Oreochromis niloticus: one gene and its partner. The protein of the gene in region 1 interacts with the protein of each later gene in a biochemical or structural test. Links are inferred from orthologs where the notes say so. Each region holds a gene or a part of one and is shown on either strand. Other genes may lie near its edges.

Evidence for each region.
Region 2: the proteins of tie1 (region 1) and angpt1 interact in a biophysical measurement, tested with the Homo sapiens proteins (2 studies listed by BioGRID and IntAct, with this or other methods). The link is inferred for Oreochromis niloticus from reciprocal best matches to the Homo sapiens genes TIE1 and ANGPT1.

What each region holds. Positions count from the first base shown.
Region 1 is NC_031981.2:32,931,763-32,935,686, forward strand, and holds the start of tie1 (tyrosine-protein kinase receptor Tie-1), read right to left. Parts: upstream 2,675-3,924; 5' UTR 2,428-2,674; coding exon 2,364-2,427; intron 1,488-2,363; coding exon 1,191-1,487; intron 1,036-1,190; coding exon 928-1,035; intron 833-927; coding exon 677-832; intron 57-676; coding exon 1-56. UniProt on the Homo sapiens protein: Transmembrane tyrosine-protein kinase that may modulate TEK/TIE2 activity and contribute to the regulation of angiogenesis.
Region 2 is NC_031985.2:14,962,445-14,966,368, reverse strand, and holds the start of angpt1 (angiopoietin-1), read right to left. Parts: upstream 2,389-3,924; 5' UTR 1,924-2,388; coding exon 1,531-1,923; intron 1-1,530. UniProt on the Homo sapiens protein: Binds and activates TEK/TIE2 receptor by inducing its dimerization and tyrosine phosphorylation.

The DNA of each region.
Region 1 (3,924 bases):
GAGACACTCTTGACAATCTCTAATACAGTTAGGACCCCACTTCTGACTGGGGCAACCTGCAAAGAAACACAGATTCTTTACTTAGAACAGCACAGAGACTTCAAACACCTTCGATAGCATTTACGTGTATTTCGCCTTTTGTGTGTTTATATTCTGTTTTGGATATTTTTTTAAGCACATGTGACCTATTTAAATGAAAAAAGGATTCATAGTACTGAATGCATGCTAAATTACAGTAAAATGTGCATCTGGTGGAGACAACAAAGAAGAAGCCGGCTGCAGGTGGAGGGTGGAGATAGTGTTAATGCTGTAATTTTTCTTTGGGGTACTGAGATAAAGGAAATGACACAAACATATGTGCTGCACATGCCTTGCCAAATAAAATGTGCAGATGTAGCCTATAGTGAATTCACAGTTTAGGGTAGGCTAGTATTTAACAGTAACTTAGATTTCCACAAGCTTCCATTTAAATAGAAAGATTTTGAGCTGAGGAATCTCTTGCATCTCAATCAGTCTAGCAGAACGCGCACTGAGTCAACTTCAGCATGTCTTGTGTAATCCTTTGTGAGTTCAGCTGAACATCTGAGCCAAAAAATGCTACAAAACTCTTGATTTAATCTGACACCGATTGATTGTGTGTGTGTGTGTGTGTTTGTGTGTGTGAGACCCAACAAACCTCTGACAATGAGCCTCATCCAGGCACCCTTGAGAGGGCTGTCTCCAACATAGCTGGCACTGTAGATACCTTGATTGTCAAGCTTTACATTCTCCACCGTTAGCTCAGCAGTTTTATTGATCATGTCGTTCCAGTGTGTCATATAATAGTAGTTTCCTACAAAAACAAGCGACAACATTAATGTCATTGTTTGAGCCTGCGTTTGCACAAAAATTTCCTTCCTCTATACCGAGTTGCATACGCTGACTCACCGTTGTACTTCCAGGTCACATCTCTCTTTTGGGAGTTGATCAAGTGCATAGTGAGGTTAACTGTCTCACCTAGATTAGCAATCAGTGTGAGGGAATTTGGAACGAAATCTGTTGTAAGGAACAAAGACGCTGTTATTGTTTTTTTTTTTAATGGCACACCCTTGAAAGTAGTTGCATTTAAACATGTATTTCATGCATAATAGATTTAAGCAATAAAATAAATCTCTCTGAAGAAAGTCTTGTTTTGTGAAGTGCAAACACACCGTTGTCAAGGTTGTTAATCATTGTGATCTTTTCAACTGGGCCAACTTCCTGAGAAGATTCACAGTAGAAGATGCCAATGCTTTCTAGGTGACTAAAGTCTCTGGCCACAACCATTTTATTTCCGGACTTGTGCACCCTATATTGTGGGGTACTGGAGAACATGAGGATTTTGTTGTCCTTCTTAATGCCCAACTCAGCCTGGGCAGAGTTGCGCTCTCCATTGATACAAGAGATGGAGAAGTTTTCGGGGGTTCTGATCATGGCTGCAGAGAACATGGTCAGGTCAATCACAGCATCTGTAAAACAGAGCATTAGTCATTCTCTGATGTAAGGCAACAGTGTGAGTTTTTTTAATCACGTGTAACAAACCTTATTTAATTATTCAGAGAGATGGAGAGTTGTCTTTTCAGGGGGAAGACCCATTATTTTTAATGTTAAGTGATTCACACAGTGACAGAAAATACATACGCTTTTTTTCAATTTGTATTACTTTTCCCTAGAAATGTACACATTACTAAATTGCTCCATGGTCATCTTGGAGCTGTTAAAGTGCTCAGTCGTTAGCAGTGTGGAACTACTGTTTCATTCCAGTTGTGATCAAGTGTCAGATTTGAAGTTCTGCATTAAATTAAAGATGATTGTGTCAACTTAATTTCATAAAACTCATCTATCAGACACATGGAATAAATATTGAATCGAAGGGAAGCATGTGTTGTAACTCTTTTTTTTGGTTAATAACGCCTTATTATCATATTGCGTTAAATGGGGAAGATCATTCGACTTAAAATTACAGATTACTGAGAATACCGATTGGGGTTTGGGTTCAAACATAAACGCCTCTTGGAATGATGCATTAACAAAAGTGCCAAATCCAATAACATGAGTTTGCCCAGCATTCCTTCTCCCTGGTATGTGAGCCCCAAATCCACAGAACAATGGAAGGAAACATGGATGAGCTCCTTATTCCCTGAGGGTACATAGATCTACGCGCTGTGCTGACAAGGTCTCAGACAAACGAAAAAAATTGCTTAAAAACTATAAGTGGATCAAGGTTGGGTTATCTCTGTATAACTTGGACGTTAGTTTTTATCCCCTCCTTAATATAAGATTTCTCAAAAATATTCTAGGTCCGTAAGCTACTCAGACAGGTTTTGAAATAGTTTCCCTCTTACCTGATAAAGTAAAGAAGCACAACGCAAACACCCACAGAATCATCGTGGTATTTGTAATCCTCATTGGGGAAAGCTGGAATTCAACTGCCGGCGTGTGATTCTTTTTAGGGTGAGCTCTACATCCAAAACGGTGACGCTGCGTCACGACGGTGCGCTTTTTTACGCATAACTCGTCGAAGCCTCCAATTCTCCCGTTCGGTTTGTAAAATCTCGTCGGTAACCAGCTGGTTTTGGGAGATCACTCTACTGTCACTCTAAGCAGAGAGTCTAACTTTTGGTGAAGCTCAGCTTTCTCTGGGTGGGAAAGGAAGGAAGAGCGTCACCAGACAGCGGAGGACTGCTGGCGCTCCAGACCTCCCCGATCCACGATTAGTGTATTTCTGACTTCAAATTTTGTCACTTTTTCTTCCAGTACAATGCTGAACGTTAAGCAGTCGTCTGATTGCTTTTACATACACTGAACATCATGATTTAGTAAAACGGCTGTTCTGTGGCACGATGGATTTAGGATGAAACTTTTTTAGGTTTCATCAACAACAAAAAACATGAAATGTCAGCTATTGACCATTTTAAAATATACACTGTTTGAGGAGTTATAAATGCATTTTTATTAAAATATATTGACTACTATACCCTGCACCTCCCAAACATCTTTCAATGCGGATATTGTACCTAATTGCTGCCCTTGATGCGGCTTGCGCAGATACCAAATACTTTGGCAGCCAAAATCACGTTTTGCCAAATGCAACAGCTTTGTTCTTTCACTTCAATGAGTAGCGCGCAAACCCTGCAGCTTTTATGACCAGTCAGTCTCTTTCCTTCACAATCAGTCAGCCTCAGGAAATGATGAACAATATACTTGTTGTGTCTATTCAGACCCCAACTTTTTGAAAGTGCTCTCACTTTGCTAGGTCTGTTTTGAAAAAAATGAACACGCCTTTTCTAATTCTCTCCACAAAAACTGTAGGACTTGTGTGGTGTTTTTTTCCCCCTTGCAACTTCAGACAACCTGACACAACTTCTTATTGTTTGAGATTTCCTGTTTTCAATTTCGGGAGCACACACAGGCTGTTTTAGCCTGCAAGGAACATTCTATTGTATTGCTTCCCTAAAAAAAACAAAAAAAAAACAAAGACTGCAATTTTATAAGCTTTGGAAAGTGTTGATACTTAATGGATAAATAAAACGATATACAATGGTCAAAATACTATCCAGAATAAAGAGATGTGCTGTTGATTCAAGTTGGGGGGGGGGATCAAAAGTTGAAACGGGTACACACAGGTTCACTGTTTTGGCTACACGTTACAGTGATTCCATTTTGGCCTTGTGGCAAACAAAAGGCCGTCAAGTTCACAGTTGGCTGTGGGAGGCATGGTCCTTTTGTCCTGTTAGTGTGACCTTATTTGCACAGAAATCAAAACTTCTTATTTCCTCCTATTTCCCCTGCATGTGCTTCAGAATAAAGAAGAGCAGTGATAGTGAAATGTCACGTGAACAGGCTCTTACTGCTCTGGAAGACAGTAAAGTTTACAGTAGAGCAATGTGCAACAAAGTGTACCCT
Region 2 (3,924 bases), on another chromosome or scaffold:
ACAGATTAATCGGCGAAATTCAGCTTGATAAATTCCCCGTTACACTGTGATCCATGAAATCCGTCAGTTGTTAGCTGTGCGCGTGTTTGACTTACAAACTGCAGAAAATAAAATAAGCCATCAGCTTTTAGGTGTTGATCGCAGATTGGACATGCTAATCTTGGAAGCAACAACACTGTAGAAAATGCAGGAGCAGGAGATCCTGTGATGCCAAATTTGGAAGTTTGTTTGTTTGAATCATGTATTCATTTCAGAGAGACGGTCTTGGGCTTTTCGGAGACACAAAGTCTCAAAGCCTGAAAAAGCAGAGTGCCTGCCAAGCCGTATCAGATATGGCTTCAGAATTCGCGTCTTATTAACATCACACAAGAACCATATTTGAACATAGCACCTCACAGATCTTCAAATTCCCTTTAAAGGGATTTAATTTAGGAGTTATTTAACCAATAAATTATTCCAATAAAAATGTTCACATAAAACTTCTTTTATATGAATCTGGATTTTCAGGCTAAACTCACACTTGAACAAAAATAAAGAGAGCGTTCTCCTTCCCTGTCTTTTCCTCCTCTCTGAGTCTCTTGGGGCTCTCTCTGACTTCCTGCCATTAAAGAGACGGCCCACTGGAGAGCAGGGGGTGACTGACATATAGCTACCTTTGCTGTATGACCGATGCGACTCAAAAGGACATCTGTGGAATTTTGCGGTTAACACAGAGAAAAGTAGGAAGACGTCAGGAAAACAGAGATGTGTTAGACAGAGACGCAGCAGTACGAGATGTCTGTGCGTGAAAACCGGACAGCTGTGTGACATCCAGAACGAAAAGTTCAGTGCAGTCAATGTACACAGTTACGTAACCAAATACCCCAGTCTGTCCTCTTTTGTGTGTTATCAAAAACACATATTTTGTTAACTAATAAAAGTCTGTTTGTCAACTCAGAAGCAAAGAAGATTAGTGCCACTATGAGACCAGGCTGCTTTCTCAACAACTGAAGGAGTTATGAGGTGTAAGTCAGCCAGTTGACAGCCGTGCATTTTAACATTTTTGATGTTGTCAGTGTTTTATGTGGTAATCTCTGGAATTTTATTTTGAAAGTGGCCACACAGCATCACCCTTTGGGGGGGATACGGGTAAAAGAAAGCTGCACTTTTCCAAGGCACATAAACTCTCCTACTGACAAGCACTTTGACAAACTATGTGTCGACTACATGAAAACAGCAAACACTGCATGGTTTTAGTCTGACAGCCTCGTCCACAAACCAAAACAAGGTATCTAGTGAAGCTACAAACAGACGCTCCGGGGAGACCACACACCCAAGCAGACACAAATATCTCAACAAATAACACACAGCAGCGTGGCCACTTCAAAAGAAAAAACTCATGCAGATGTAATTCTAAGATTTTCTGCGTGGTTCTAATTAAAACAGGAAAATTCCACTGCGTTCTTATTTCAGCTTATCATTAAGCCAAGATCATGTTTAAAAGAAAAGAGAGGTCTAGCACCTGATGCTCCACATACAGTTCCTCCTTACCTTCTGTAGCCACTGGGTGTAATTCTCCATAACGTTCTCCAGCTGCTGGATCTTCTGGCTGGGAAAGTCTGGCTCAGGTGGTGGAGCGTCCCTCTGGAGAGAGTTGGCGTTGTACTGCGAGCTACTGGCCTTCGCTTCCTTGCAGGAGCCTCCTCCAGCTCCCTCTCCCTCAGGTAGGATGAAGGTGTAGGTGCACTGGCCATGCTGGATCTTATGAAAACGTCTGTTATTGGAATTACTACTGCTGCTGCTACTACTACTAGTACTCCCTCCGTTACTGCTACTGCTGCTGCCGTCCGTCCCTCTCCGTTGCTCACCTCCTCCGCAGCTCACGATCACCAGAAGCGCCGCCAGCGACAGCAGGTGACGACTGTAGTGGTACCACAGCATCATATCAGCCTGGAAGCGCTGTTGAGGGTGATTAAATTTCTTGTGTCTCTTGTTTCCCCTTCTATGCTTTACTAGATGTTCTCTTAAGGGCTGAATCAGAAAACGTTAGCCTGAAACATGTATCCTCCATCCTTAAGTTGGACCTCCAGCAGTCAGAGTTCATGCAGACTTTTTTGCCATGGACGGGACACACATGCTATGTTTCCAAACCTCCTCTTAAGTTTGTGTCCTGGCAGGGAAAGTTGCACACATGTCTTGGAGTGTGACAGCTTGGTTATATTTCTTGGTGTTCCTCCAGTAAATCAGAGCCTGCCTGCGTTTATCAGAGTGTGCATTTAAAGTAGGTGCTGGGTATGCTGGGATAGTGTCGTCAGACCTCCCCTGGTCTCTCTGCCGTCCTTTCCTCCTCTGCTCGCAAACTTAACGACTGGGGGTAGAGAGTGAGAGAGAGAGAGAGGGAGACGCTCACTCTGAAGAGCAGTTCCAAGCTTCCAGCACACTCTGCGCCTGCCCCTCGCAGAGCCTGCAGAGGAATGTGACTCTGTGCATGGACGCATTTGTGTGTGTGTGTGTGTGTGTGTGCGCGCGCGCGAGCCAGTGATCCTGGCAGAAAGAGACCTCAGCACAGAGGACATGCTTACACTGTGGGGATCAGCTTTCAGGCCGGTTTATGTGGTTGACCTGCTCCCTTGCCTGTGTAAAAAAAAAAATAATAATAATAATAATAATTTGAACGCACGCATTTAATTTATCTCTTCTTTTCTCCCTGTTCAGCTAATAACAGGTGCTAACCTGTCACCTGTGCTCGGGGTAGCTTTATATGTTCTTCTGCTTATCTATTGAAAGTACAAATCCACAGTCAGGACAAGCATTTTTTTTATAAACTGCACCACCTAGATGGAAGTAGCCATAGGATCAAACTGCAAACTTACGTAGTGGCTAGTGGTCAGCAAACCATAAGCCTGAGCTACATTTACCACAAGATATTAAGTATGTTTCATTCCATAGAATTTGTTGCAGTAAATTTAAAATACTATTAGAGAGCACTCAAACACCAAAAATGCTATCTATTCTCATTCTATCATTTTGCTAATGTTTGCTAAGTCTGTCTGACACTATATATACTGTAAGTAGTATATACGTATATGTACATGCAACTATTTAATATGTACTATAGAGTAAAGTAAAAATTCAGTACACAGTCACAAAGCACCTGTGGTTGGATAAAGTCTACTCTCATGCGCTAAGTTTACTAATGGCAAACGTAAGTCAGCAACCTCCTTATGACTAATAAAAACCATGTTTTTCCCAGTGATTTCATTGTATTGCATTGCATTCAGCAACCAACTGCAAGTAGTTGCCACGACCAGCTGGTTGCTCAGAGACTGGAGGTGCAACATCCTCAACCTCTTCGTGACCACTTTTGATTGCACAGGTCACCTCCTGGGTAATCTGTCTCCAAACAACTGCAGTCTGACTCAGGCAGACTACAATCACTCAGAGAAAGTTTGCAAATACTCACTGTCTAGTTTATAAATGCAGACAGATTGCCAACGCACTGCAATCAGTCTGAGTCAGTCTGCGCCAGTGAGCACAACTTGTCTCCAATACTTCTTTATGCAGTAGAAGACCTGACACATCTGGTTGAAAAATGGTTGTGTGGAGCCTGAACTATGGGAGGTCTTGTCCACTGAATTTGTACAGTAACGGATTATTAAACTGTAATTATTATGGCTTGTTCCAGATTTAAAATCATATGGCTTTTTAGGTGTCATTTTGCTTGGTATCTTAACTAAGAGTTTACATATGCACAAGTATATCACATGCCTTCCAGTGTCACGTTTTCATGAAAACAAAAGTGAAATCCAAGAATGAGCAGGGGATAGATGGAATGCCTCTTTATCATTAAGCCAGAACAAGGGGCAGAGTGAGGAAACACAGCGCTGAAAGACCCTGGGTTAAAGGTCAAGTCCTTGTTACGGCCAGCCTATTAAAATCTCTGAT